Stegostoma tigrinum: one gene and its partners. The protein of the gene in region 1 interacts with the protein of each later gene in a pairwise test. Links are inferred from orthologs where the notes say so. Each region holds a gene or a part of one and is shown in the gene's direction. Other genes may lie near its edges.

The links. The genes of interacting proteins can lie anywhere in the genome.
Region 2: the proteins of tropomyosin alpha-3 chain (region 1) and lebercilin-like protein interact in binary tests that used the Homo sapiens proteins (3 or more experiments, as listed by UniProt). The two-hybrid records come from large-scale screens. The link is inferred for Stegostoma tigrinum from reciprocal best matches to the Homo sapiens genes TPM3 and LCA5L.
Region 3: the proteins of tropomyosin alpha-3 chain (region 1) and lurap1 interact in binary tests that used the Homo sapiens proteins (3 or more experiments, as listed by UniProt). The two-hybrid records come from large-scale screens. The link is inferred for Stegostoma tigrinum from reciprocal best matches to the Homo sapiens genes TPM3 and LURAP1.
Region 4: the proteins of tropomyosin alpha-3 chain (region 1) and inhibitor of nuclear factor kappa-B kinase-interacting protein-like interact in a two-hybrid assay, tested with the Homo sapiens proteins (2 studies listed by BioGRID). The two-hybrid records come from large-scale screens. The link is inferred for Stegostoma tigrinum from reciprocal best matches to the Homo sapiens genes TPM3 and IKBIP.

Annotation. Positions count from the first base shown.
Region 1 is NC_081400.1:4,429,280-4,437,160, reverse strand, and holds the start of tropomyosin alpha-3 chain, read left to right. Parts: upstream 1-4,862; 5' UTR 4,863-5,092; coding exon 5,093-5,206; intron 5,207-7,881. UniProt on the Homo sapiens protein: Binds to actin filaments in muscle and non-muscle cells. Plays a central role, in association with the troponin complex, in the calcium dependent regulation of vertebrate striated muscle contraction.
Region 2 is NC_081365.1:19,150,024-19,157,619, reverse strand, and holds the start of lebercilin-like protein, read left to right. Parts: upstream 1-4,595; 5' UTR 4,596-4,823; exon of another isoform or gene 4,824-4,878; intron 4,879-7,596.
Region 3 is NC_081361.1:65,212,561-65,219,472, forward strand, and holds the start of lurap1 (leucine rich adaptor protein 1), read left to right. Parts: upstream 1-3,911; 5' UTR 3,912-4,148; coding exon 4,149-4,382; intron 4,383-6,912. UniProt on the Homo sapiens protein: Acts as an activator of the canonical NF-kappa-B pathway and drive the production of pro-inflammatory cytokines. Promotes the antigen (Ag)-presenting and priming function of dendritic cells via the canonical NF-kappa-B pathway.
Region 4 is NC_081378.1:35,460,256-35,467,957, forward strand, and holds the start of inhibitor of nuclear factor kappa-B kinase-interacting protein-like, read left to right. Parts: upstream 1-4,701; 5' UTR 4,702-5,023; coding exon 5,024-5,178; intron 5,179-5,188; exon of another isoform or gene 5,189-6,349; intron 6,350-7,702. UniProt on the Homo sapiens protein: Target of p53/TP53 with pro-apoptotic function.

The DNA of each region.
Region 1 (7,881 bases):
GACAGAGACAGGACGGGGTTAGGTACTGGGTTGAAATCCTGGATATCCTTCCTTCATGGTATTGCCCATCTACGTACTGCACATGGACTGCAGCGGTTCAAGAAGGCAGGTCATCACCACTTCTCAAAGGGGCAACTAGAGAAGGGCAATAGATGCTGGTCCATGCCCCCACAAGTGAATTAAAAAAAAACTCCCTCTCTAACAATAGAGCCTTTCCTGAGATAAGGAAACCAAAACTGTACTCCAAGTGCAGTCTTAGCAACATAATCGAAGCAATACAGAACTGGCTCGATGGTAGGAGACAGAAGGTAGTGGTAGAGGGTTGATTTTCAGACTGGAGTCTTGTGACCAGTAGTGTGCCACAAGGATGAGTGTGGGGTCCACAGCTTTTCATCTTTTACATAAATGGTTTGGATGTGAACATAGGAGGTATGGTTAGTAAGTTTGCAGATGACACTAAAGTTGAAGGTGTAGCAGGCAGCGAAGAAGGTTACCTCAGAGTACAATGGGCCGAGGAGTGACAGACAAATTTAATTTAGACAAATGTGAGGTGCTGCATTTTGGAAAGGCAAATCAGGGCAGGACTTATACACATAATGGTCAGGTCTTGGGGAGTTGAGCTGAACAAAGAGATCTCGGAGTGCAGGCTCATACTCCCTTGAAAGTGTGGTCATAAGTAGACAGGGTGGTGAAGAAGGTGTTTGGTACAGTCGCCTTTATTGGTCAGTGCATTGAGTGTAGGAGTTAAGAGGTCATGTTGCAGCTGTATAGGATATTAGTTAGGCCATTTTTGGAATAATTCTGGTCTCCCTCCTACAGGATGTTGTGAAACTAGAAAGGGTTCAGGAAACTTTACAAGGATGTAGCAGAGTTTGAGCGATCGTGAGAGGCTGGGGCTAATTTCTCTGAAGCATCAGAGGCTGAGGGGTGACCTTATAGAGGTTTATAAAATCATGGGGGGCATGGATGGGGGTGAGTAACCAAGGTCTTTTCCCCCAGGGCAGAGGAGTCCAAAACTAGAGGGGCAGAGGTTTAAGGTGAGAGGGGAAATATTTAAAAGGGACCAAAGGAGCAACATTTTCAGGCAGAGGGTGGTGTATTTACAGAATGAGGAAGTGGTAGAGGCTGGTACAATGACAACATTTAAAAGGCATCTGGCTCGGTACTTGGATAGAAAGGGTTTAGAGGGATATGGGCCAAATGCTGGCAAATGGAACCAGATGAATTTAGGCTAATCTGGGTTGGCACGGACAGGTCGGGCTGAAAGGTGTCGTACGTCTCTGTGACTCAAAGGCTTCATGACTCCTGGAGTCAGAAATGGGGGCAGACACCCAGCCAAGATGGCTTCCAGAGTGAAGGAGCCAAGTTGCTCCGAATGTTCCTGTGTCAAGAACGGGCATGAGGTGCACTGCAAGGCAGTCAGCAGCGAAATACAAAAGGAATACAGCCTTGGGGGACATCATCACAATCTATTTGTGCTCACGGGCGTCAATGTGTTGTGACAGCTGCTGGCCAGATTCCTGCTGGGGCTTTATTTTTGACTGACTGAGATAACTTGACAGGAATAGATCCACCTTAACCTATTGTAAAAACCTTCTGGCACAGGGGTTAGATGGTGGGCAGCTTGATCAGATGTAGCTCAGAAAGTAAACCCACCCTAAAATATTCCAGGCAACCGCTGTGGGAAGTATCCTTTGTATAAAGGATTTGGGTGCGAATATAGGAGGAATGGTTAGTAAGTTTGCAGATGACACCGAAATTGGTGCTGTAGCGGACAGGGAAGAAGGTTACCCCAAAGCCCAGCAGGATCTTGATCAGAAGGGGCCGAGGAGCAGCAGACGGTGTTTAATTGAGATAAATGTGAAATGTGGCGTTTGGTAATGCAAATCAGGGCAGGACTTATACACTTAATGGTAAGGTCCTGGGGGAGTGTTGCTGAACAGAGGTGCCTTGGAGTGCACGTTCATAGCTCCTCACAAGTGGAGCTGCAGGTAGACAGGGCAGTGAAGGTGTTTGGTACGCTTGCCTTTATTGGTCAGAGCTTTGAGTACAGGGAGTTGGGAGGGCCATGTTGCAGCTGTACAGGACATTGGTTAGGGCTACTACTGGAATACTGCATTCAATTCTGGTCTCCCTGCTGTAGGAAAGATGTTGCTAAACTAGAAAGGGTGCAGAAAAGATTTACAAAGATATTTGCTGGGCTTGAAAGGTTGGAGCTGTAGGGATCTGTTTCCGCGCTGTACAACTCTACCTTCCTTCTTGAAGCCTGAAAGTACTTGACCTCACCCACACATTGGGATTCACTGGCAAGGCTGGTACTTGTTATCCTACCGTAATGCGAGGGAGTTCTGGACTTCCTCCCAGCAACAGCGACGATACAGCTACAAGCAGAGAGGCTGTGTGGATAGCAGCGGGGAGAAAGGGAAGGAGCGATACTCCTGCGCATGCTCACTGCCCTCACCGAGCCCAGAGGGCACAGACTTGGCCGGGTGGGGGCTGACGGAGGACCCATTGGCTGTCCGCCCAGATGCCGGCTAAAGAATGGCCAGAAAACTGGCCTCCCCCGTGTCAGGAAGGGCACCACAACATAGGATTGGGAAGAGGCCCTTCAGTCCCTTCAACAGAGTCCACCATTCAATGAGCATGGAGGGTATGCGTTACAAGGAGAGGCTGAGATTATTCCCTGAGTTCGAAGGCTGGCCTTATTGACGTTTATTAAATCATGACGGGTTTAGATATGATGAATGGCAGGTGACATTTCCTTAGACTAGGGGCAAGACTAGGGGGCATGTTTTTAAGGTGAGAAAAGGACACAAGGGGCAAGTTTTTATTTACACAGACAGCGGTTCGTGCGTGGAATGAACATCCTGAGGAAGCGGTGGATGCAGGCGTAGTTACAACATTTAAAGGACATTTGAATAAGTACATTAATAGGAAGGGTTTGGAGGGATATGGGCCAGGAGCAGGCAGGTGGGAGCTAGTTTAGTTTGGGATTAGGGCCGGCATGGACTGGTTGGCTCGAAGGGTCTGTTTTGTGCATTGGGTCTATAAGAACACTGCACCATTCCCTTAGCTCTATCCACTCACTGTGGTTCTAGACCACTTGCTGATCAAAAGCCTGCTCAGATTCAGCTTGCTTATTTTGACAAAATTGCTGGCATGACAACTGTTGTGGCGGGAATAATGTTGCAGGGACCCATGCCCCTTTGCTGGGTAAGTCCTCCTGACTTCACCCCCAAAGAAAAACCGAAAGAACTGCGGATGGTATAAATCAAGAACAAAATCAGAAGTTGCTGGAAAAGCTCAACAGGTCTGGCAGCATCTGTGAACAAAAGATCAGAGTAAATGTTTCGGGTCTGGCGACCCTTCCTCAATGACCTTTCACCTCCAAAAGGCCTGGTTCACATTTCAAGCTCCTGCCCTAATAGTCCCCCCAGGGTTCGATTCCATCTTGGCAGTGCCTGCTCCCCCAGCATTGGCCCTCCCACAGTGCCAGCTCCCTCAGCACTGACCCTCCCACAGTGCCAGCTCCCTCAGCACTGACCCTCCCACAGTGCCCGCTCTACCAGCACTGACCCTCCGACAGTGCCCGCTCCATCAGCACTGACCCTCTGACAGTGCCCGCTCCATCAGCACTGACCCTCTCACAGTGCCAGCTCCCTCAGCACTGACCCTCCCACAGTGCCAGCTCCATCAGCACTGACCCTCTGACAGGGCCCGCTCTACCAGCACTGACCCTCCAACAGTGCCTGCTCCATCAGCACTGACAACCTGACAGTGCTCGCTCACTCAGCGCTGACCCCCCTGACAGTGCCCGCGCTCTCAGCACTAGCCCTTAGACAGTTCCTGCTCCCTCTGTGCGACCCTCGGACAGTGCCTGCTCCCTCAATGCTGACTCTCCGACAGTGCCAGCTCCCTCAGCGCTGACTCTCCGACAGTGCCAGCTCCCTCAGCGCTGACTCTCCTACAGTGACCGCTCCCTCAGCGCTGACCCTCTGATGGAGCTGCACCGTGCTGGCACTGGCCAGTCTGTCTTATTTGCTGCATTCTCTGGAACGGGTCTTGAACCTGTTAACTCCGATTCCGTGAGTGCTAACCTCGGAGCTCCAGCTGAGTTAGGCTGACATGTTAGATGCTTGCCTTGTGGACCTGGGTAAAGGTCAGATACAGTGCTTCTCAGTCCTCACCAAAGGTTGTGCCTTCAGTATTTCGTGGGGGGAGAAGAGGGGACCTGCTCCTGCAGGGAATTGGGGGAAAGAGAATGAGGGACTCACTCCTGTGAGGAGTGAGGTGGGGGGAGAATGGGGGACTCGATCCCGTGGGGAGTGGGGGGGGGGGGCGCAGAGAATGGGGGATTTGCTCCCACAGGGAGAATGGGGGACTCGCTCCTACGGGTAATGGGAGGGGTAGAATGGGGGACTCTCTGCCATGGGGATTTGGGGGAGAGGGGGGAGAATGGGGGATTCGCTCTAGTGGGGAGGAGGATGGGGAGGGGCCTTGCTCCCACAGGGAGTGTGGGGAGGAGAATGGGGGACTTGCTCCCTCGACGAGTCGGGGGAGAGTCAGGCCGGGGGAATGGGTTGAGGTGTCGAAAAGCTGAAAGAAGCCGAGCTTGGTATACATCAGAAGGTTATTCTGATTGGGTGCGGTGGAAGGGATTGAGTGATAGTTCCTGAGGTCGCTGACAGGGCTGAATGGTCCCCAACCAGGCTGTAAAAAAAAGCTTCTCAAGTCGGGCACCAGATGGAGTGTTAAAAGAAGAGTAAGGAGAGCAGCTGGCCTCTCTTTTAATAGAAAACAGTTGTCCACTGAAGTCAGAGGACGGCATCCAGCCAACCAATCATTGTCTGAACCTCGACAGTGTCCCACTGATTACTTAAAAATACTCCCAAGGTTGGGTTTCGGAGTCGAGGGGAGACTACATCAGTGTGGGAGAGCACAGGAGACTCACTGTACCACGGGCACCTTTTTCATCCTCTTCCTCTCTCTCTCTCTCTCGGTGCCCACCGGCGCTCACACACAGCTCGGCTGCCCTCGTCTGCCTCCGTTCCTCTTCCCCAGTCGTCGCCGAGGCCCACCGTACAAATCCAGAATGGAGGCCATCAAGAAGAAGATGCAGATGCTGAAGCTGGACAAGGAGAACGCCCTGGACAGGGCTGAGCAGGCTGAGGCAGACAAAAAGGCAGCAGAGGAGAGGAGCAAGCAGGTAAGGAGGGGGAGGCCTAGGCCTCATACTAGACACGACTCTGTCACTTCTAATTCAGTGGGAGCTCACTGGGCGGGATGTTGCGATAGCGAACGCAGTGCGACCCGTGCCACACATTCATTTAGACCCTCCGACAGTGCGGCGCTCCCTCAGCTCCGACCCTCCGACAGTGCGGCGCTCCCTCAGCACTGACCCTCTGACAGCGCCCGCTCCCTCAGCTCCGACCCTCTGACAGCGCCCGCTCCCTCAGCTCCGACCCTCCGACAGCGCCCGCTCCCTCAGCTCCGACCCTCCGACAGCGCCCGCTCCCTCAGCACTGACCCTCTGACAGCGCCCGCTCCCTCAGCACTGACCCTCAGACAGCGCCCGCTCCCTCAGCACTGACCCTCCGACAGCGCCCGCTCCCTCAGCACTGACCCTCCGACAGCGCCCGCTCCCTCAGCGCTGACCCTCCGACAGCGCCCGCTCCCTCAGCGCTGACCCTCCGACAGCGCCCGCTCCCTCAGCTCCGACCCTCCGACAGCGCCCACTCCCTCAGCTCCGACCCTCCGACAGCGCCCGCTCCCTCAGCTCCGACCCTCCGACAGTGCCCGCTCCCTCAGCTCCGACCCTCCGACAGCGCCCGCTCCCTCAGCACTGACCCTCCGACAGCGCCCGCTCCCTCAGCACTGACCCTCCGACAGCGCCCGCTCCCTCAGCTCCGACCCTCCGACAGCGCCCGCTCCCTCAGCACTGACCCTCCGACAGCGCCCGCTCCCTCAGCACTGACCCTCCGACAGTGCCCGCTCCCTCAGCTCCGACCCTCCGACAGTGCCCGCTCCCTCAGCTCCGACCCTCCGACAGCGCCCGCTCCCTCAGCACTGACCCTCCGACAGTGCCCGCTCCCTCAGCACTGACCCTCCGACAGTGCCCGCTCCCTCAGCGCTGACCCTCCGACAGTGCCCGCTCCCTCAGCTCCGACCCTCCGACAGCGCCCGCTCCCTCAGCACTGACCCTCCGACAGTGCCCGCTCCCTCAGCACTGACCCTCCGACAGTGCCCACTCCCTCAGCACTGACCCTCCGACAGTGCCCACTCCCTCAGCGCTGACCCTCCGACAGCGCCCGCTCCCTCAGCGCTGACCCTCCGACAGTGCCCGCTCCCTCAGCTCCGACCCTCCGACAGTGCCCGCTCCCTCAGCGCTGACCCTCCGACAGCGCCCGCTCCCTCAGCGCTGACCCTCCGACAGTGCCCGCTCCCTCAGCTCCGACCCTCCGACAGCGCCCACTCCCTCAGCTCCGACCCTCCGACAGCGCCCGCTCCCTCAGCTCCGACCCTCCGACAGTGCCCGCTCCCTCAGCTCCGACCCTCCGACAGTGTCCGCTCCCTCAGCACTGACTCTCCGACAGTGCCCGCTCCCTCAGCACTGACGCTCCGACAGCGCCCGCTCCCTCAGCACTGACCCTCCGACAGTGCCCGCTCCCTCAGCACTGACCCTCCGACAGTGTCCGCTCCCTCAGCACTGACCCTCCGACAGTGCCCGCTCCCTCAGCACTGACCCTCTGACAGTGCCCGCTCCCTCAGCACTGACCCTCCGACAGTGTCCGCTCCCTCAGCACTGACCCTCCGACAGTGTCCGCTCCCTCAGCACTGACCCTCCGACAGTGTCCGCTCCCTCAGCACTGACCCTCCGGCAGTGTCCGCTCCCTCAGCACTGACCCTCCGGCAGTGCCCGCTCCCTCAGCACTGACCCTCCGGCAGTGCCCGCTCCCTCAGCACTGACCCTCCGGCAGTGCCCGCTCCCTCAGCGCTGACCCTCCGACAGCGCCCGCTCCCTCAGCACTGACCCTCTGACACCTGCTCTCTCAGCGCTGACCCTCCGACAGCACAGAAACCCCAGATCTTTGCTTTGAAATGCTGAGTGGTTTTGCGTGCCTGGCTGAATTACCCCACACCAATCCTGCACTGGCACCTGCACTCACTATGCAGCGTCGTTGGCACAGAATGGTCATGGTTGGTAAGGTGACTGCTACAAGCATACTCTGTCTCAAGCCTGCACCTGAGAAGCTGCTCACAAGACTAGCCACAACTAGGGTAGGGCAGTAAAGTTGGTTTAGCCAACAACACCCACATTCCCCTAATTGATAAGCATAAAAATTGTGGGCTATCCAACTGTGGTGGGCATCACAGCAGAGTTCCAGCAGCTGCAGGGACATGTACTTCCACTCAGAAACGCTGGACAGTGATAGGAGAGGGTATCTGGGCTATCTCTGACCTTTAGGTGCTGAAGTCAGCTGTGGCGACCCAGGATAGCGCTGAATGCAATACACATTTGTGTGAAACAGGGCACATTCCAAAGCGAATGGCTGCAGTGAACATTAAACCCAAAGAAAGCCAAGCGAGAGCAGCGGAGATTTACTGGAAAGGCTTGGGGGATGAGGGCCTTCACTTGTGTGGACACTTAAACAAACTGCAAGCATTATTCTCAGAGCTGTGAAGGATAATGGCAGTTTTAACAGATCAGAGTTATGAGCGGACTTGGACAGAGTACAAAAAAACAGGTTCCTTCAACCGGCCACAAACAGAAAAATTGTGAAATATTTGTCAAATGGCAGCACAAGTCTTACTCAGTATGCTGTATCTCACTGTAACACTCTTACATATCCCACACTCCTTACTGTAACACTCCTGTATACC
Region 2 (7,596 bases), on another chromosome or scaffold:
CACTGTAAGAGTTCTTTGGGGTAGTGTCTTATGGAGAATCACCTTCAGGCTTTCAACAGCAACCTTGCATCCAAGAGAGTAGTGGGGATATTTGGTGGTGATTGCACTACTCAGTTTTAATCAGAACTTTTCAGGTACTGAAGGAATTATGTGCCCATCTGCAGCAATACCTAGACAATGTTTAGGCTTGGGCTGATAAGCAGCAGCATGAAAAAAGTGCCAGGCAATGACTATCTCATCAAAAGAAAACCTAACATCTCTCTTGACAATCAATGATATTACCATCACTGAATCCCTATTGGCACTGTTCACGAGTTACCATTAATCAGAAACTTAACTAGACCATGTAAATAGGTACAAGAACATTAAAGAATTGGAACTCTTCAGCACATAACTCACCTTCTGACTCCCAAAATGTTACAGGTTGATTTGTGCTTACAAAGAAGTTAAGAACAGCCAAAATCTCAATCACACGTTAATTTTGAATTTGAAGATCGATCTCAAACTGGTGAGGCAAGCAGAGGGATTTTTCCAGTCTCTAGCAGAATACTGATTGATTACTCTGCAACTGGAAATGATTCAAGAAGAAAGATCGTTGCTTCACTCTCATATTCCCTAACTTACATTATTTGCTTATCTAACAATAGCTCAAATTTAAGATTGTCATTCGTGTGTTTCAGTTCCGGCATGGCTTTTTCCCTTGGGGAACCAGACATGCTGATTTTGCCAAGATAATCCAAGTTTTTCACAATTCATCCCAATATCCCAATAGGTTTCTCTAAATTGCTTAAATGTGCTGGTTTTGTCTCCTCATTTTCAGAGGCGTCACCTCCCAGAATCCCCTTCTCTTTCCACTGCCCCTTACGTTCTGTTTCTAATCATCTGGTGTGGTGTACTACCTTGGGAGATCAGAACGGCCATACCAGGGACATTCCTGTAAGTGCAGAAATCTTTCCCATTGGCATCCAGGGCCAGGGCCAGGACACTTCCCCCTTGTTCACCTTTCAGTGCCTTGATTGGCCATTTCATGGGAAAGGTTATTCCAATATGGAAGTTCATGGACATACATTATTATTCACTGGAAATACACATAATATAAATAAATGATAACAGTAAAAGATGATAACATGATCCGGATACCTAACTTTAATTAAGATCTATTTACTCACTCAGAGCGAACATCAGCAGTAAGAAGCAGGAACCTTGGAAGCATGAAGGACAGCCTGAACTGTAGTGCAGCCAACCGTAATCGGGGGACGGCAACTGTGGGAACGGTGGCTTCCCGGAGTTTCGACAGCAGTAGGAATGGTTCCTGCCTGGAATGATGGCAGCAGCAGATTTCTTGCTGAAACGGTGATCGTCGGAGGTGGCAGTGAGTTTGAGCCCAGTTCGGGACCCGGCAACTTCAGCGGTGGCTGCATTGCTGAGATTTGTCCAGCGTGGACTCACGGTGGCGACAACGTTTGTGGAGGCAAGGTAGCACTGACGAATGGTTCCAGCAGCAGTGACACTGGGCCATGGCTGGGCCCTGGTATCTGACAGCGGTGGGAGCTGGTGTTCCAGCTGCGGTGGGGTGCGGGTCTCGGGGCACCTGAGTGTTTGCAGACTATGGACATACTTTGTGGCTTTGTTATCCTGGCAACAAGGACACATGGCAGAGGCGGTGGGGGTCTGGAGGGGTGTTTCCTTTTCTTTTGGCTGTTTCTTTTATCTCTGCTTCTGTTTTTTAATCCTGTTTTTTTTTGTATTCTTTAAGATGTTGCCGGGAAATGACGACTTTGTCCACTTTTCACCGTACTCCTGAACTCGAGTATATGTGACAATAAAATCTAATAAAATTACCAGCTATTCCATTTATTACAAATAATTTTTATGCTCGAGCCTGCTCTGCCATTCAATACAATCATGGCTGATCTCAGCTCGACTTTCCTGCCTGTTTTCCATAGCCCTTCAACCAGTTACAATGAAAAAGCAATCTCCTCCTTCAACTTACTCAGTGCACCACACTGTGGGGTAGTGAATTCCAGATTCATGACCCTTTGAGAGAAGTACTTCCTCCTCATCTCTGTTTGAAATTAGCTATCACTTATCCTAAAATTATGGCCTTTCATTCCAGATTATCCCGTAAACAGAAATATCCTCACTACATCTATTTTGTACATCTTCTTTAATATCTATATACTTCTGACTGTAAGGATAAAATGCTCAATCTCATGTCATATGACAAACCCCTCATCTGTGGAATCAATCTAGTGGACCTCCTCCAAACTGCTTCCGATGCAACTCCATCCCTCCGTAGGGGCACCAAAATCATACATAATATTCCAGGTTTTGTCTCATTAATGACTTATACAGTTGCAGGAAGACTTTTGTACATTTATACTCTATTCCCATAGCAATAAATGTCAAAATTCCATAGTTTTTTGCAATTCATGCATGTCACACACAAGGACATGCAGATCCAGCTGCACCTCATCATTCTGAAGTTTTTCTCTGTATAGGTAATACATTGTCTTTCTATTCTTCTGATCAAAATGGATGCCTCACACATATCCATGTTAAATTTTAACTGCCAAATTTTGGCCCCTTCAAATTTATTTTTTTTTCATTACAACTTACATTCCCACCTTTTTTATGTCATCAGAAAACTTGACTGCAGTACCTTCTATCCCTGCATCCAAGTCATTAATATAGATTGTAAATAACTGGGACCCAAGGACCGAGTCCTGTGGCCCCCGCTAGTTACATCTTGCCTGCCAGAAAAAGACTCATTTATCCTGATTCTCTGATTTCTGCTGTTTAGCCAATCCAAGCTGATATTTTAGTCACTGACTTGGCGTGTTAGCCTTTTATGTGGCACCTATCAAGTGCCTCCTGGAAATCCATATATACTCGATCTAGATATCCATTCTGCAAGTTACATCTTCAAAAAACACAAAGATAGGCAGAGGGAAAGGTAGTGTTGAGGAAGTGGGACAGCTGCAGAAGGACTTGACAGGCCAGGAGAGTGGACAAAGAAGTGGCAGATGGAATACAATGTGAGAAAGTGTGAGGTTATGCATTTTGGTGGAACAGAAGCATAGACTATTTTCTAAATGGGGAATGGTTTTGGAAATCGGAAGCACAAAGGGACTTGAGAGTGCTAGTTCAGAATAATCTTAAGGTTAACATGCAGGTTCAATTGGCAGTTAGGAAGGCAAAAGCAACGTTAGCTTTCATTTCGAGAGGACCAGAATACTACAGCAGAAATGTACTGCTGAGGCTGTATAAGGTTCTGGTCAGATTGCATTTGGAATTTTGTGAGCAGTTTTGGGCCCCATATCTAAAGGACATGCTGGCTTTGAAGGGGGCCCAGAGGAGATTTACAAGAATGATCCTGAGGATGAAGGGCTTGTCATGTGAGGAGCCGTTGAGGTCTCTGGATCTGTACTCCATGGAGCTACGGATGAGGGGATGGGGGGATGTTCTCACTGAAACTTAAAGAATACTGGATAGAATGGATATGGAGAAGATGTTTCTTCTAGTAGGCGAGACTAGGACTCAAGGGCACAATCTCAGAGTGAAAGAATGGCCCTTTAGAACTGAAATGAGGAGGAATTTCTTCAGCCACAGGGTGGTGATTGTGTGGAACGCATTGCTGAAGAAGGTTATGGTCAAGTTGTTGAGTGTATTTAAGACAGAGATAGATAGATACTTGATTGAAAAGGAGGTCAAGTAACAGGAAAAAGGCAGGAGAATAGGGGGTGAGAAACAAATCAGCCGTGATCGAATGGCTGGCAGAGCAGACTCGGTGGCCTAAATAGCCTAATCCTGCTCCTATATCTATAGTCTTATGGTCTTAATTTTAGCAAATTGGTTAAACATGATTTACCCTTCTTAAAGCCATTCTGACACTGGTGGATTGCATTTTGACTTTCTAAATATCCTGTTATTTCATAATAATAGATTCTAACAATTTCTCAATTACAGAAATTAAAACTAACCAGTCTATAGTTTCCCAGTGCCTGCCTTTCTCCCTTTCTGAGTAGTCGCACAATATTAGCATTTCTCCAATTCACTGGAACATTTCCAGCATCCAGAGAATTTTGAAATTTTATAATCAATGGATTCATTATCTCTGCTGCTATGCCCTTTAAGATGTTGGGACATTGAGCAAATTTGGGGAGATAGATTCTTAAAGTAGTAATGGTATGAAGGGTTGAGGAGAGTGGGCAGGAAAATGAAGGCCGAGGAGATGAGATCAGCCATAATCGTATCAAATGGCGCAGCAGGATTGAGGAACTGAATTGCCTACTGCTGCACCTAGGTCTTGTGTTCTCTACGACCCTGCCTCCCTCTTCCATCTTTTTTTATATTCTTACCTAAGTTTTTGGTCACTTACTTTAATATGTCTATATGTGCCCACTCGCCAAATTATATCTGCTTATATCCCGGTATAGTGCCTTCAGACGCCTCACAACGTGAACATCGCCTTATAAATGCAGTTGCTGTGGTTTTGGAGCCAGGGTCATTCAGTGCGTGTGAGCATTGTCAGTTTATAAATGCAACTTATAATTACACCATCTTATTTTAAACAGCAGAGACCGACCCCGTGCTATATGGAATTAGATCTCACCCTTATATTGAAAAGACAGGATAAGAAGAAATGAACTACAGATCCCTCAAGGCAATATTTGATGCATGAGCACTGAACGCCTCTTAGACCGTTTCCAAGGCGATGGATCTAAATATTTGATACAGTATCCATTCGATTCCTGTGAACCATTGTGGCGCAGATTGTGACAGTTCGATGCAACAAATCTTTCGAGTCCTGCTCATTTCAGGTACAGGTCTTATGGACGATTCGCGTTTCATTCAGCAGCGTCTTAGAATAAACCGGTAAGTCATGTTTATAAGATAATAAGGTGTAGAGCTGGGTGAACACAGCAGGCCAAGAAGCATCAGAGGAGCAAGAAAGCCTGACGTTTCGAACTTAGGCCCTCCTTCAGAAATGGGAGAGGCGACGGGGGTTTTCAAATAAATAGGAAGCGAGCGGGAGGCGGATAGAAGATGGATAAAGGAGAAGATAGGTGGAGAGGAGACAGACAGGTCAAAGAGGCGGGGATGGAGCCTGTAAAGGTGATGTGTAGGTGGGGAGGTAGGGAGGGGATAGGTCAGTCCAGGGAGGAGGGACAGGTCAAGGGGGCGGGATGAGGTTGGTAGGTAGGAGATGGGGGTGGGGCTTGTGGTGGAGGGGGCGGGGGTAGGTGGGCGGAAGGACAGGTTAGGGAGGCGGGGCCGAACTGGGCTGGTTTTGGGATGCAGCAGGGGAAAGGGGAGATTTTGAAACTCGTGAAGTCCACATTGGTACCATTGGGCTGTAGGGTTCCCAAGCGGAATAGTTTCTATCTACATACTGGTGCGGATCGAATTCCATCAATTTCTCGCGAGAGGACCTTCACCGCCTCAGTGCATCCTGCTGCATTGTCCTGGAATAACACAGTGTGGAGCTGGAGGAACACAGCATGCCAGGCGGCATCAGAGGAACAGGAAGGTTGACGTTTCGGATAGGGACCCTTCTTAATTTCTGGAGAGTCCCGACCCGAAACGTTAGCTTTCCTGCTCCCCTGATGCTGCCTGAACTGTTGTATTTCTCTATCTCCACACTGTGTTATCTCAGACTCCGGCATCTGCAGTTCTTGCTATCTCTGCATTGCCCTGGGGTTTTTTTTGTATTGCTTTGTTCCTGCACGGAAGAGACATATTTCGGAAAATAATAGTGCAAATCTTATACAAACATGTTGTCATCTTTCAAAAAGAGAAACTTACCTTCAGAAAATATTTTAATTTGAAAACCGAACATCAAAATTCAAAAAGAATGGCATTGAGTTGAAATTCTACAGATTCGAATGTTTATATTTGAATGGTGTGTTGATGACATCAATAGGGAACGCACAGGGACAAGTTTGATTGTCTGATAACGTGAATGACGGTACAAAATAATGAAAATAAGGAAGATGATCAAATTATACATCTACTGATGTCTGTGCACTACCTGAAATATTAAAAGCTGACAACACTCAAATTAAAACAAACAACAGAAACAAGCATAACAAGGTGTAGAGCTGGATGAACACAGCAGGCCAAGCAGCATCAGAGGAGCCGGAAGGCTGACGTTTTGGGACTCGACCCTTCTTCACAAATGGGGGAGGGGAAGGGGGTTCTGAAATAAATAGAGAGAGCGGGGGGAGGCGGATAGAAGATGGATAGAGGAGAACATAGGTGGAGAGGAGACAGACAGGTTAAAGAGGTGGGGAAGGAACCAGTAAGGGAAACAGAAATGAGCGGAAGACTGCACCCACTGTTATCGCCCCTCTCCATAATAATTAAAATATATGATTAATCTTAGCGATTTCATTTTTCAAATGGGTCTGTTATCCTTTAAACTTCCAATTTATCATACAATCACTTTCAAGAAAAAAAACTTTTCGATTTCTTGTTGGGTGTGTGTAGATATTCAGAAATGCCAGAAGATTTACCGGTGCTGGAGGGGAGATGAGTTTATTTTAATATACTGAATTATCATGATCTGAAATGTGAATTAGCATGATCCAAATTGCATTGTTTTAAAAGCTGGTGAAAGCAGATTCATTTGTAACTTTCAAAAGGGAATGAGACATCATTTGAGAAGGAAGTGGTATAAGGTATATAGAACATAGAACAGTACAGCACAGAACAGGCCCTTCAGCCCACAATGTTGTGCTGACCATTGATCCTCATGTATGCACCCTCAAATTTCTGTGACCATATACATATCCAGCAGTCTCTTAAATGACCCCAATGACCTTGCTTCCACAACTGCTGCTGGCAACGCATTCCATGCTCTCACAACTCTCTGCGTAAAGAACCTGCCTCTGACATCCCCTCTATACTTTCCACCAACCAGCTTAAAACTATGACCCCTCGTGCTAGCCATTTCTGCCCTGGGAAATAGTCTCTGGCTATCAACTCTATCTATGCCTCTCATTATCTTGTATACCTCAATTAGGTCCCCTCTCCTCCTCCTTTTCTCCAATGAAAAGAGACCGAGCTCAGTCAACCTCTCTTCATAAGATAAGCCCTCCAGTCCAGGCAGCATCCTGGTAAACCTCCTCTGAACCCTCTCCAAAGCATCCACATCTTTCCTATAATAGGGTGCCCAGAACTGGACGCAGTATTCCAAGTGCGGTCTAACCAAAGTTTTATAGAGCTGCAACAAGATCTCACGACTCTTAAACTCAATCCCCCTGTTAATGAAAGCCAAAACACCATGTGCTTTCTTAACAACCCTGTCCACTTGGGTGGCCATTTTAAGGGATCTATGTATCTGCACACCAAGATCCCTCTGTTCCTCCACGCTGCCAAGAATCCTATCCTTAATCCTGTACTCAGCTTTCAAATTCGACCTTCCAAAATGCATCACCTCGCATTTATCCAGGTTGAACTCCATCTGCCACCTCTCAGCCCATCTCTGCATCCTGTCAATGTCCCGCTGCAGCCTACAACAGCCCTCTACACTGTCAACGACACCTCCGACCTTTGTGTCGTCTGCAAACTTGCTGACCCATCCTTCAATCC
Region 3 (6,912 bases), on another chromosome or scaffold:
ATTTTGTGAAGTCACCATTGGTTAAATTTCACTAAAGATTTGAGATGTATGTTGTGCCTTGTCCATATTTCTGAAGCGCACAGGAATGTAAGTAATATTGCTGCCACAGACGATGAACTCAATGTCAGATTTGAAGTCTTTCTTAACAAACTCTCAGTTTCTCAGGTGTCTAAAGGCTGTGCTGGCATACTGGAGGTGATGTTGAATTTTCTCTTAATCTTTGTTCCAGTGAAGCAGTGATTCATATTGTCCAGAGGCTAGCCATAGATCTTGACCGTCACATTAGGGTTGAGTTTAGTTCTAGTGACAGTCCTGTACAATGGGAACAAGCTGGCAGAGGACCTTTGTCTTTCGGATGTTTAGCCTAAAGCCCATTGTCTTATATGTTTCGGTGAATGCATCAACAATGATTTAGGGTTCAATATTTATATTTCAATATTTACACAAAATTAACGAACAGAGTTTGTGTAAAACCTGCATCTAATGAATAGTACTTTGAGGTTAGTTATACTATTCATTAATTTTAGAAGCTGTAATGCTTGACAATAGCCTCTGTGTCATTGTGCCAGCTCCATTGTCTGACTCAGATGTTACATAGTTCCACTTAGTGGATTCCAAATTCTGTTCATCATTAATCATAGGTAGTAAGTGAGTGGAGCCCTGGAGTGCATCACTTGAGAGAATGGTGAAAATTAATTCAATAGTAAACAATCAAAAGGATATTTGGTGAACATTTGAAGGGAAAATGTTTGGAAAAGAGCAGAAGAATGAGATAAACTGAATAGCTTCACTTTGGTATAAGAATGATGAGTCAAATGATGTTCTTCTATACTGTATCATTCCATGCCCATTTTCCTCTCACGGGACAGGGACTTCCCTGAAAAGGCCACCATTCGTTGAGCATCCCTGATTGCCCTTGAACTAAGAGGTGTGCTGGGCCATATCAGTAGGCAGTTAAGAATCAATCACCTTGCTGTGGGTCTGGAGTCACGTGTAAGACAGGAATGGGAATGGAAGGGGATGAGAGAGAAGGTTGAACATGGCAGAAGCAGTAGGGGGAGGAGTAAAGTAGATTGATGGGGAGGGGAGAAAGAATGTGAGAGGGAGGAGAGAACATCCATATGATCAGGTGGGAGGGGTTGAGTTTCCACCACCTTCCTACCTCTCTCCACTGAAGTCCAAGAATGTCTGAAGTTGGCCATTCCTCTTGGACACCAGTTGAGGATCTTAAGTAGCTATTTTGGAGCAACTTAATGGCTTCATCCTGACACTGTTGTTAGTCAATCAGTTTCAGGTTTTGCTTTCTGTGGCGGATGAGACATACCACAGGGGCCCTCATTGTAAGCCTATCCTGTGACGGATTGAGAGACCTGAAATTGGAAAGGGTAGGGAGGGTGTACTCATAAGAAGCCACGACCCAGCCATTGTCAACCTCTTCCTTCCTGGCAATCTCATCCCAGCCCTGTAACCTGGCTGGAAAGGATTCCTTATCAATCCTCCGGTAAAAGCCCACTGCAATCCTGAGGCAACCACTGTTTTGAGTGGCACTTTAAGGGAATTTCTCAAGAGCACAACATGTCTGACTAACTTGCTGATTTTTTTAAAAGTAGTAACAGACGGTTCTTGAGGGCAATGCAGTTTATGTAGTATACATGACTTCTAGAAGAGACAGTTCAAACAACAGACTTGTGAAGAAAGTTAGATCTCAACGAATGACACAGTATCAATATGAATACAATAATTTTGAGTAATATGAAACAAAGGGAAATTTTTAATGGATGAGTTCCAGGCTGGCCATAGTTTGCACTGTTGGATTCCCCAGGTTTCCTTGACACATATTAATGATCTTGATCTTTGTGCAAAGAGCACACTTTCAAAAATTGCTGATGATATGATACTTGGATGCATGGTTCATTGAGAGGAGTATTGTAGTGAACCTCAGAAGGACATAGAAACATTGAGGAATAGACAGAGGCGGCAATCAATGAAGTCCAATGCAGGGAAGTTAAAGGTTTTGGCAGGAAGAACAAGGAGAGAAAATATAAAGGGTACAACTCTAAACGGAATGTGCATGTTCATTAAAGATAGCAGAACCGATAATAAAGCTATCCTGGGCTTTATCTAAAGGGACCCAAAACTTGTATGAGATAACAAAGTGTGGAACTGGGTGAACACAGCAGGCCAAACAGCATCTTAGGAGCACAAGAGCTGACGTTTCGGGCCTGGACCCTTCATCAGAGAGGGGGATGGGGTGAGGGTTCTGAAATAAATAGGGAGAGAGGGGGAGGCGAATCGAAGATGGATAGAGGAGAAGATACGTGGAGAGGAGACAGAAAAGTTAAAGAGCAGGGATGGAGCCATTAAAGGTGAGTGTAGGTGGGGAGGTAGGGAGGGGATAGGTCAGTCCGGGGAGGATGGACTGGTCAAGGGGGCGGGATGAGGTTAGCAGGTAGGAAATGGGGGTCTGGCTTGAGGTGAGAGGAGGGGATAGGTGAGATGAAGAACAGGTTAGGGAGGTGGGGATAAGGTGGGCTGGTTTTGGGATGCAGTGGGGGGAGGGAAGATTTTGAAGCTTGTGAAATCCACACTGATACCATTAGTCTGCAGGGTTCCCAAGCGGAATATGAGTTGCTGTTCCTGCAACCTTTGGGTGGCATCATTGTGGCACTGCAGGAGGCCCAAGATGGACATGTTGTCTAAGGAATGGGAGGGGGAGTTAAAATGGTTTGCGACTGGGAGGTGCAGTTGTTTACTGCGAACCGAGCGTAGGTGTTCTGCGAAGCGGTCCCCAAGCCTCTCCCCAGTGTAGAAGGAGCCACACTGGGTACAGCGGATGCAGTACACCACATTGGCGGATGTGCAGGTGAAAATCTGCTTGATGTGGAAAGTCTTCTTGGGGCCTGGGATGGGGGTGGAGGGAGGAGGTGTGGGGCAAGTGTAGCACTTCCTGTGGTTGCAGAGGTAAGTTCCAGGAGTGGTGGGGTTGGAGGGGAGTATGGAGCGTACAAGGGAGTCCCGGAGAGAGTGGGCTCTCTGGAAAGCAGACAAGGGTAGGGATGGAAAATATCTGGAAAATGTTGGGGTCGGATGGCAGACGGCGGAAGTGTTGGAGGATGATGCGTTGTATCCAGAGGTTGGTGGGGTGGTATGTGAGGAGGAGGGGGATTCTGTTTCGGCGGTTATTGTGGGAACAGAGTGTGAGGGATCAGTTGCAGAGATGCTTTTTCTGACTCAGCTAGAGCCCTGTGTCCAGGTCTGAACGCTGCATATTAGAAAGGCTGTGTGCGTGCACTGGGGAAGGTGCAGAAAAAAAAGATAGATTGGAGAAGTAAGGACTGTTTTCCTTTGGAGAAGTTGAGAGGAGGTTTGATTGGAAGCATTCAAAATCGTGAGGTCTGGACGGAGTAAGCAGTGAGAAAATGTTGCCGCTTGCGAAGAGACAGAGGACACAGTTTTAGGTTAACTGGGAAAAAAAAGTCAAGGTACTTTCACGAGCAGGCAGGCTCTCGAATTTTGCTTGAGAATTTGATGAAGATAAATTCAACCAAGGTATTCAACAGGGAATCAGACAGCTATCTGATCAATAACATGCGGGATTACGGAGAGATAGTACCGTATTAGACATTCCTTAGAAAATCCGGTTCAGACGTGAAGGGCTGAATGGCCTCCTGCTCTGCAACCTGAAATCTGCGAACTGTTGGTGGCTGTATCCTTTTCATATGCCCTTGTGCTGCATTCACTCACAAAGTGGAAAGGAAGAAGGTTTAGTGGTGACATTGGGACTGGAACGGCAGTTGGATTGACGGCGGAGTTCCGTTTTTGTCTCCTCCGAACACTGGGGAATAGCACAAGGCCAGGGCAGCGTGAGCGGGGGTAGGTTTTGAGTGGCGCTTTGTTTCTTTCCATTACGGTAGAGAGGGTCGGGTGACAGAGCCGGAGCTGTCTTCGCCGCAGTCTCTTCATTCATTCATTCAGCGATGCCTGCAGGTGGAAATTGGTGTGAAGCGGCGCCGGGGCCGGGGAAGACAGAGGCTCAGTAGGGAAATGTGTATCCTAGGGAGGGTGCCTGGTGGGGAACAGAGCTAGTCTGCTTGGTTTTAACCGGACTGAATCCCTTTGGACCAACACATCGATTCATAGATCTTGTCATGGAAGATAGTGCGAGCGAATTGTTGCCGGATCTGAAGGATCTGGAAAATAAGGTTGGACGTAAGACGCCAGAAGGCTTGCTGCGGTGGTTGCGGGAGGACGCAGCGCGGCTAGCCGGGGAGAAGGTGGACACTGCTGGGCCGAGCGGGGACCAGGCGGCGCTGTTCCCTGGGCAGAACAAGAAGCTGCCCCAGGGGCTGGCCGAGAAGATCCGAATGCTCCGGCTGGAAATGGTGAGGGGGTAGGGTGTTGATTTTTTTAAAAAAAACGTTACAGCTTGGCGTCTGCAGGTAAATTCTGGGCGAGTCGGCTGTAGCGTATGACTATCTCATTTCCGCCAGCAACGCCGTTCCTATGGAGGTTGCAATAAGTAGATGTTCGATACTTATATTGTCGGGAGCTCTGCCTAAATCCTACGGAAGTGCTCCCGGCATTGACCGGCTGCATTTAGCAAACAATTGTGACCCCCAGGCGGATCTCACCTGAGAAATCTTCACATTAACCCCTTCACTGAATGTTACGAAATGATCTCACACCTAGTCTTTCATTTTTAAAACTAAACTCACTTAGACTGATTTTAAGAAATTGTTCCTTTATCAGGTTAAAGGAAATACTCCCTTCAGGATTGGGAACAGTGTCGGGACCCAAGTCACAAGCTTCTGTACTTGACTCTGAGGAGGGGTCTTTGCTCTCTCCGCTGTGCAATAGTTTGAAAACTTGTTGAGGTAATGGGACTTGTTTCCTATTGAATCAACATTTTCCACAACATTTCAGTTAATAATTAACTGCTTCAAATGTGACTTTTGTCTTTTTTTGTTGAAACACTGAGTCAGTTTACAACGACGTTTGAATAGATATTTGAGTTAACGCTTCATTTCAAGTAAATTAATGTTGCTGGCTGATGCAAAATAAAAGGTCAGGTGCATGAATAAGTGATCTGAGTTAGCTCTGAGAAGAATCCATTCTGCATTAAATTGGCGAGGATCTCTGATTGTCAGTTAGCAATTCGCGACTTTTGAGGCTAAACCACGCCCTAATCTGAGTAACCCATAGACACTCGGAATTGATTCCTGTATCTATCTCGTCTCTAGGATCAACTTCCACTCAAGGTCAGAACTAACGCCAGTACTGGAGCCTTTGCTTATTTTATATACAAGTTACTTAACTTTCCCATTGCGATTTGTCAAGTTATAATTTCCTACTCCACCTGTTTTGTCTCTGGGGGTCGCTTTGTCCATACGATCGGTCCCTCCCACTGCAAATTTCACTGAAGATTTATGCTAACGTTGCGAATAAAGGCGTAAGAAATAGTAACAGGTGTAGACCATTTGGCCTCGTGAACCTTCCATCATAAGATTATGGCTAATTTTTTACCGTGGCCTCAACTCAGAATCTTCCCCTCCCCGCACCCCCTATAATCCTGATTTTCTTGAGGATCAAAGGTATTTCTAACAACCGTGATTAAATTCAACAACCCAGTTTCCCGTTCCAACGATTAAGAGCCCTCTGAGAGAAAAGAAATTCCTTCTCTGTTTTGAAACCCCTTATTCTTTGTTCTAGATTCTCCCCACAAAGGGAAACGTTCTCCTAGGATTTGCCTTGTCAGGCACACTTAGAATCTAATTGAAACATAGAGGATTCAAAGCCTTCTAAACTGTAAGGAGTAGGGTCCAACCTGTTCCCTTTGCTGGGTAAAGAATGGGTTCATCCCAGGTGACTCTGAACTTTCTAAACTTCATCCAATGTGAATATAAACCTTCCCCAATAAGAAAGCAAAGCTGTATGTAGTATTTTAGATGTGTTCTTACCAATGCTGATTTTGTTCAAACTAAATACATTGTGCTCTGATAAGACTGGTGGTGTCTGATGTGCAGGAGCACAGGATATGTTTGAATGAGCTGTAAATGAACATTACCTTTTGACGTGGCAACTATGCATTCTTCAGTTTTTGTCTTACAATTCCAATCACTCAAATTGTATAATCCCCTATCCAATATTCATCTGCTTTGTAATATTTCTACAGTATATGAGCAGGTTATTTCTGATACAGCTAATTATGTCAAGTGAAGCAGTCTTTAGAAATGAAAGAGAATTTGTAGGTTCAAAAACAATGGGTTTCAGAGGTTGATGGATCCAAAAATATTGGGGACATGGGAGAAGTGAAGTGGGATATTTACCCATTCCTCCTTCAGTCTTAGAAATTTAACATTCCTATTCTTAAGAATATACCCTTTTATAGGAACATTGGAGCAGGAATTGGCCATTCTCCTGTACAGTGCCCATATCCTTGAAAATTATGCAAGTAAAACAAGTTTGAGTACACAGTGTATGCTATAATATACTCCTGACATATTGCAAATTTAGGGGTTTGAGATATTTCTATGATTGCATAGATCTTTATGCTAGAGTATTAGAACTGGTGGCATTCCTAGTCAGGATTTCCTATTGACTTGTGGGGAGATGGTGGGCTGTAGTGTGCAGTATTGTTAAGAATCTACAAACATGGCAGGGTGCAGGTAATGCTAAAATATTTGGCTGTAAGTGGGTGACTGGCCTGCAGAAGATGCAAAACAGCTTCGAGTATTTCTCCAGATTTGTTGCTACTGTTAGTGATACTGATGGTTCTGACTTAGTCCATGCATTTTATAATTAGACTGTATTTGTTGTATTAGATTTTGACCAACAGGGGATGCAACATTTTGTTCATAGACGGAAATCTGTAAGTGAGTGAGTTTGAAAGGGGTTAATTTTCCAGGTTCTAGG
Region 4 (7,702 bases), on another chromosome or scaffold:
CAGAGTGAAACACTAAGAGAGAAAATGGTGGGTCCACTCTGCTGACAGCAAAGCTGACAAGACATAAACAAGATGGGGGTTGGGGGTGGTGGAGGTTGGTGACCTGGTTTTTGAAAGGACAATCAACTTGAAGCTCCAAGTCATTCTTACAGTTAGAGCAGGGATGTTTCACAAAGCTGTCACCCTGTCTGCATTTTCTTCTTGCCAATTTAAAGAAGACCACATTGTGAATGTAGTAGACCAGATTGAAAGAAGCATTGTACAAGTAAAGTGGAGAAATTGTGACATTTCCTTGGAGAAGGCTGAGAGGAAACTTGATAAAGATATTTAGAATCATAAGGTATTAAAAGGTAATTAAGGCTTGAAATCACCAGGAGGTGGTGGCAATATGATAATATCACTGGAATAATAATCTAAATGCTCAAGCAAATGTTCTGGAAATGTGGGTTCAAATCCCGCCATATTGAAAGAATATTTGAATTCAATAAAAGTAATCAGGAATTGAAAGCTAGCTTCCTGGTAGCTATCTTGCCACATTGTAGGTTGTTGTTTTAAAAACCCATCTGGTTCACTAGTGTACCACCCTTACCTGATCTGACCTCCATGAAACTCAACTTCAGTAAGGTGGTTGACTTTTAACTGCCCTCTGAAAAGGTCCTAGCAAAGCACTCAGTTTAAGAGACAATTAGGCTAAGCCAACAATGCCCACTTTCTATGAATGAATATTTTAAAGCAAAATTATTTCAGACTATATTAAACATATAATCACTGAAAAGAGGAATGCCCACAGGGTTTTAAGCAGAATAAAATTGACAAATTCTGTTAAGATTGAACAATTACATTCTTTCACATTAAGTTACTCTCAAGAACTTGGCATCATCAGCAAATGAAAGAGATACAATGCCTATATTCTAGTTTTATTTCAGAAAACAAGTAAATATTTTACTGAGTCTCTTGTGGTGCAGTGGCAGAGTTCCTGACAATGCCCCAGCCCTGAACTGGGAGTCCTCAGTTCAAGTCCCCCCTGCTCCAAGGGTACGTAATAAAAAATTCTGACCAGGCTGATGAGAAGAATAGGCTATATTTGGAAAAAAAACAAGTAAATGCTTTGCTAATGGTATTTAGAATATTCTGAAACAAAGTCTGGTTTGTTTGTAAGCAATATAATTTCTAGACTTTGATCAGTGAAACAATATATTGATTGAATGTGCACAGTTGACTCACATTTATACAATTTTTATTTTGCACTTGCAAATGTCGAAATAACTTTTAACATTAGCTACTCTTTGATTTTATGGTTTTCTGCATTAGTTTTATGTTGTACAATACAAATAACTTTTCCTCTCTGTTCTTTACTTTAAAATAAATTATTCCAAACAAACACTACCAAGATGAAGAACATAAACAGATGCCCTCGAAAAGAAAATAACTGATAGGTGTTTTATTTATTTCGGAATGTGCCTCAATTAAGCAAGGCCTGAGACCATGAGTTCATGAGAACAGGCCATCATACATTCTAATAAATCAGCAAAGGAGATACCATAAATTGGTTTGCTATCTCAATGGTAAGTACCAAAATTCAATAAAATAATAGGCAAAGCTGTAATAAACAGGGATGCCCCCTGCCCTTGTAAATGACATCTTAAAAGACCAATTAGGGGTCTTGTAGATTTCTCAGATTCTCCAGCGTCTGCAGTCCTCATTATCTCTGATCACAATTTTAACCCCACTGCAAAGCCTCCTCCAGGGATGCCTAACCTGAAGAAGTTACCCTCCTCCCTCCGGACCATCCTCAGGGGATCTCTCTCCCACTGCAACTCTCTTGTAATCCTCCTGCTCTCTCCTGATTTATTTCAGAACCCTCTCCCCATCCTCCTTTTCTGATGAAGGGTCTAGGCCCAAAACATCAGCTTTTGTGCTCCTCAGATGCTGCTTGGCCTGCTATGTTCATCCAGCTCCACACTTTGTTATCTAGGGGTCTTGTAGAGTAATGGTGCTGTCCCAACCCTGAAACCAGAAGGCCCAGATTAATGACCCACTAGCTGCAAAGGTGTGTGATGAAAACTCTCTGATCAGGTCGACCCGAAAATATCTAAAAGACCAATGAGTAGATAATGGGAAATATCAGTTGGTGACTGTTATTAACAAAAAAAGAAACCAATCAGAAATTGGACGTACAGTACCTAGGCAATCCAAATTTCACCCTAAACTGTTTATGAATTGTGTGCGCATCACCTAGGCAATTAAGAGTCTAATCATGCAGTGTCTGGGCCAATCAGGACTCCAAAACGGTTTTAATTATGTTATGGAATGTGGCTCAGAAAGAGTTAATAAAGCTTCCTTTTCTGTGGTAATGTGCGCAGAAATAAATTGTACTCTAGTTAGCTGAGAATAATGATATTTTTATGGAGTAGCTTCATCCGCCATCTGGCTAAGTGCTGTTTCCGTTGCACTTATTTTTGATAACTTAATAAATTGGTGAACATTTGTTTGTTCTAAGTAGTATTGTACTCAGAGTGAGCCTGAATCTTGAAATTAAGGTTAAATAGATTCAGAATCCTACAAGGCCTGGGCAGAGTAGTTGGGGAGGAACTGTTCCAATTCATGAAAAAATGATACAGAACAAATGGTACAGATTTAAAGTAATTGGTAAGAAGACGCAATAGTGATATGAGGAATGACTTCTACACAATGAGTGGTTAAGTTATAGAATGCACTGACTGATGTATTGATTGAGACAGGTCCAATTGAACCAAGGGAACCAAAAGGGAATTGGACCAAGAAGGAACAATGTACCGGGTTATTGAGATTAACTAAATGAATTCATTTGGAGAGCTTGTGTAAATGCAATTAGGCTTATTGGCTGGCTTTTTTTCTTTGCTGTAGTGATTATGATTTTTGAAGTGCTGGACATTGCTATAGTGAGGGAACCAACACTGACGATAATTGACTGCAGACCCCAAGTATTCGTCCAAGAAGTTGCTTTATGTAATGATGTAGTATTGTCAGTTACCTTAACACAGTTTTCAGAGAGGTACAATATATGGGAGACAGGAAACAATGGTATTCATGATAACAAAGTGTGAAGCTGGATGAACACAGCAGGCCAAGCAGCATCTCAGGAGCACAAAAGCTGACATTTCAGGCCTAGACCCTTCATGTTGGTTTGAGATTCTAATGATCATTTGAGTCAATGGCTATTTGGAAGCTCTTGCTATGCTGTAAACAAACTAATGTGGTGCCCATTTTCAAAACTGGTAACAAAATTCATAACTACAGAGACACCACCATTTCACATTTTCCTAACAGAGTAACTACAAACCTGAAGCTTAAATATACAATAACCTGTAGTCAAAATAACTTAAGTTGGTGGGTTTGTAGTGGATAGTGGTAGACAGCCTAACCACAAAAAAGCGGAGTCAGAGATAGACCAGGTGAAAGTGAGGAGGATATTTGGTAATGGTAGGGGTTATGCTGGGCCATGGATTTACAAATTATGTTTGAGTACAATTTAGCTGTTGCTGATGGCCCACAGCATCTCCGGGAATACCTAGTCCTGAATTGCTAAATCCATTTAAGTCTACTCCATTTGGCATAGTAGTAGGTATTTTGGGATTGGTTAACTCAGTTGCCTGGATGGCTGGCTTGGTTTACACGGTGACATGGATAGCGCAGGTGCAATTCTGATACTGGCTGAGATTACCTTCTTCTCAACCTCTCCCCTCATCTGTGCTGTGGTGACCCTTTGGTTAAATCACCATTCATCATTCCCACTGAGGTCTGGTAAGACTATGGCAACTTTACCTTTTAGTTCCACAATCATGACACAGAGTATTCTCAATGTGAAGAAAGGACTTTTCTCCACAAGAACTGCACTGTGATCATAATGCTGTCATGGACAGCTGCATTAGTGGACAGCAGCAGGTACTGTGAAGTGTGAAGGATGAAGTGAAAGATGTTTTGCCTTCTCCTTAGTTCTGCACTGGATTGTCTTCAATTCTTGCTGCAGTCCCAGTCTAGCAGCTGTGCTTTTTAAGGACTTAATTAGCTCAGTCAGCGGTGGTTCTGCTAAGCCACTTTTTTTGGTCAACATTGAAGTCTCCCAACTAGAGTCCATTCTGCTGTCATGCTACTTCTGTGCTTCATCCATGTAGTGTTCAGCATGAAGGAGCATTGATTTATCTGTTGAGGAAGGATGGTATAAGGTATTCAGCAGGAGTTTTCTTTGCACTTATTTGACAAAATGCCACAATACTTCAATGTTGAGGACTTCCAGGGAAACTCCTTCCTGATTGTGCATAACTGTGCCATCACCTCTGAGACAATGTGAGGGCCAGTGTTGCAGGTATGGTTTCCTGGGTATAACTGTCAGACTATTGCTTGACTAGTTTGAGACATAGTGCTGCAATAATAGTTGAGGGCTGTTGCTGGATCAACAGGTTTCAGCAGAGCGAAGAGTTATTGAACTCCAAATTTAAAGCTGCTTACTTCCCACCAATGCTTCAGACCTGCTGAGTTTCTCCAGTAATTTTTGTTTGTGTTTCAGATGTCCAGCATACCCAGTTCTTTGTTTTGTGTTAGGTTTCCATTATTCTTTATAGGAGGGGGTGGGGGAGGTCAATTTTTTCAAGTGGGCAGCTAAGAATCAGACTGCACATGAGTGAACTAGATGGGTTTTCACGCAGATTGTGCACGGTCCTCATTTATTCCGATCTATGACTGAATCATGGTGAGAGTCAAACCAGCTACCCAGAAAATTTCCTGCGGATTAAAGTCCATTTACAGTCCAATTACCCCGTGTCTGCTACAGACTGACAGTTCTCCCGTTCTCTAGCATGTCAACTCGCAAGATCTTAGATCTCATTGGGTCAAAGGAAACTCTTGGAGAGACAAAAGAAAAAGGCCAAAAGTGACTGGTTTATGTTCGCCGGGTGCGCGTTTGGGTCGGGGGTGGGGAGTGCCTCTTGGCCGCCGGAATTTGGTGAGAAAGTGTTGAACGTGGGGCGGGGATTATAGTTGCAAGATGTCCAGTGAAGTGAAGCAGAGGAAGAAGAACGTGGCCGGCTGCAAGCAGAGCGACGGAGTGAGGGAGCAGGCTGCGAGAGGGAAGGTGTCAGAGGGCCCTGTGAGGAATGTGCTGTGTTTGCTGTCGCTACTCGCCAGTGCGGCCATGGCGGGGTAAGGAAACGGCGGGAGCCCGCCCTCTTCTCCCCTGTTGTCTCTCGACAACTTGTGGATCCCCGTTCCTTCTTCATTTAAAACCATGGGGGGACGGGTAGGGTAATGTTCCGCTTCATTTAAAAAGCTTTTGAGGGAGGGGGGAATTGTTTCGAGTGCTGAAGGAACTGGGAGAGAGATTTTTTTTGTTTTAAGTTACTCTTTGTCTACCTTTTTACATTCGATGAGTCAGGATGTACACAAAACCGGACGGACGGTTTCCAATGAGCTGAAAGGATTTTTAACATCTTTCCTGTCAAACTAAACGTTCAAGAAACCGGCTGTGGGTTTTTTTTCCCGCCCTCTGTCAAATTGAGTGGAATTGGGCTCCACAAACTGGCTTCGTACCGCGTTTGCTGATTGTGAGGGCCCACGCAAAAAAAATGGGAGATTTTTGTTCGTATTCCTGCTGCAAAAATGTGATGATGAGATTTGGTTGAATCCAGTGGGAGGCGATGTCTGGAGGTGGTTATTACATTCTTCTCCCCTGTAAAGACCGCGAAGCAGATGTGTGGACGTGGTCGTTTTGACCGTTTTTTTAAAAAATGCAGGTTTGACGCCTTGCACCGAACAGAATGTGAACCCCGGGCTCCCTAAAACTTTTGCTTCTGCCCGAGTTGAAGCGACGAAGAATCCTTCGGTTGGGTCGATTCCGAAGACACGTCGCTTTAATTTTGGACAATCCGCTCGAAAAGTTTCATACTTTTTCCCACAGCCGGTTTGTGTAGATCTGCTGCACGTCGCGATCTGAAACCAGTACGTGCTTCAGTGGATTGTGAGAGTTGCCAACAAGTAGTTCTTCCATCAGAGATAATGGGAACTGCAGATGCTGGAGAATTCATGATAACAAGGTGTGGAGCTGGATGAACACAGCAGGCCAAGCAGCATCTCAGGAGCACAAAAGCTGACGTTTCGGGCCTAGACCCTTCATCATAGTTCATCCATCACTGTCTGATCAGGGAAGGTGACACTCCATCCTACTGTGGTGTCCAGAGGCCACCGCTACAAGGATACTGTACTGGACGCTGGAACGAAGTAAAAGCAGAACATGCTGGAAAGAGGTAGCATAGGTGGAGAGAAAATCGTAGTTGACTTTTTAGATTGGCGACTCATTTCCAGAACCATAACAAGGGTACCTTTGTTTCTCTCTCCCCAGTTTCTGTTAGATTAATTGAAAATATAACATTTTCTGGTTTTATTCAAGATTACAACATTTAAAAGGCAGTTGGATGTCCACATGAATAGGAAAGGTTTAAAGAGATATGGGTAAAAATGCAGCCACATGGATTAATTTGGGCTATCTGGTTGACGTGGATGAGTTGGACCTAAGGGTCTGTTTCTGTGCTGTACAACTCTGACGCTAATCTATGTTCTTTCGTCAAAGCAATCACGAAGAGAGTGGCTAGAGAAACCATTAAAAACACCACGTTTTTTAAAAAATCCTGAAAAGCTCAAGACAGTGGCAGAGTAGGATGCTCCAATTGGAGTTTCTTTACTTGCATGCTCCTTTTCCTTTTTTGTTTTTTGTCTTCTTCGTAGCTTTTCTTCTCCCCCACCCTTGACCTTTGACTGCCTGTCCTAACTGAAGAATGGAGTTGTGGGAGCCAGTTGCAGCTGGAGCCAGGGTGGGAGCTGAGTTTAGCAGCGGCAGCAGGGTAAGCACGGGGCAGTTTGCAGAATGAGACCTGTGGTGGTGGAGTGAGCAGGCCAGTACCCAAATGGCGGTGGAATGGGTGAGGATTAGAGCCCGAGGGGCAGCCCAGCCAGTTCTGAATGGAGGCTGGCATGAGGAGGCAGCATGGACTCATGTTGACGAGGGATGGAGCCTTAAGTACTTATGGTCACTTTCTATTATCAGTCTGGACTTTTTAAACTGTTTCTATGCTAACCTTTTGTTTAACTCTGTAACCACACTTAATCTGTCTGAACATAGCCTGTGCCTAAGATGTGCCAAGAGGTGACATTACAAACTTTTCACTGTACGAGTGCATGTGACAATGAAGAGTGTTGTAATTCTATACTAATTTGTTCTTGCTCAAGTTACAACTGCAGTATTGAAAACCAAAGTAAAAACAAAGGACTGCTGGAAATCTGAAATGAAAACATAAAATGTTGGAAAAGTTCACATCTGGCAGCGTCTGTGGAGAGAGCAAGAGTTAACTTTGAATCAATGTGACTCTGCTCCATTCTTAAGAAGTCGGAATGAACATGAATCATTAGCTGTTTCTCTTTCCACAGATGCTGCCAGACCTGTTGAACTTCTCTGGCATTTTGTTTTTACCTGAAAGTCAAAGCATTGACTGACTGCTTCCTTGATGAGATGTGGATCACCGGCCAAAATATGATGCACTGTTAGGTCATCAATAATAATTCCAAGGTTCATGGCAGTTGATTTTTGTTTATATTTTTGTACTGAACAGGGAAGACTTGAAGAGATGCAGAATTGATGGTGTAACTTTTTGCTACCTGTTTGTTTATCCCTTAA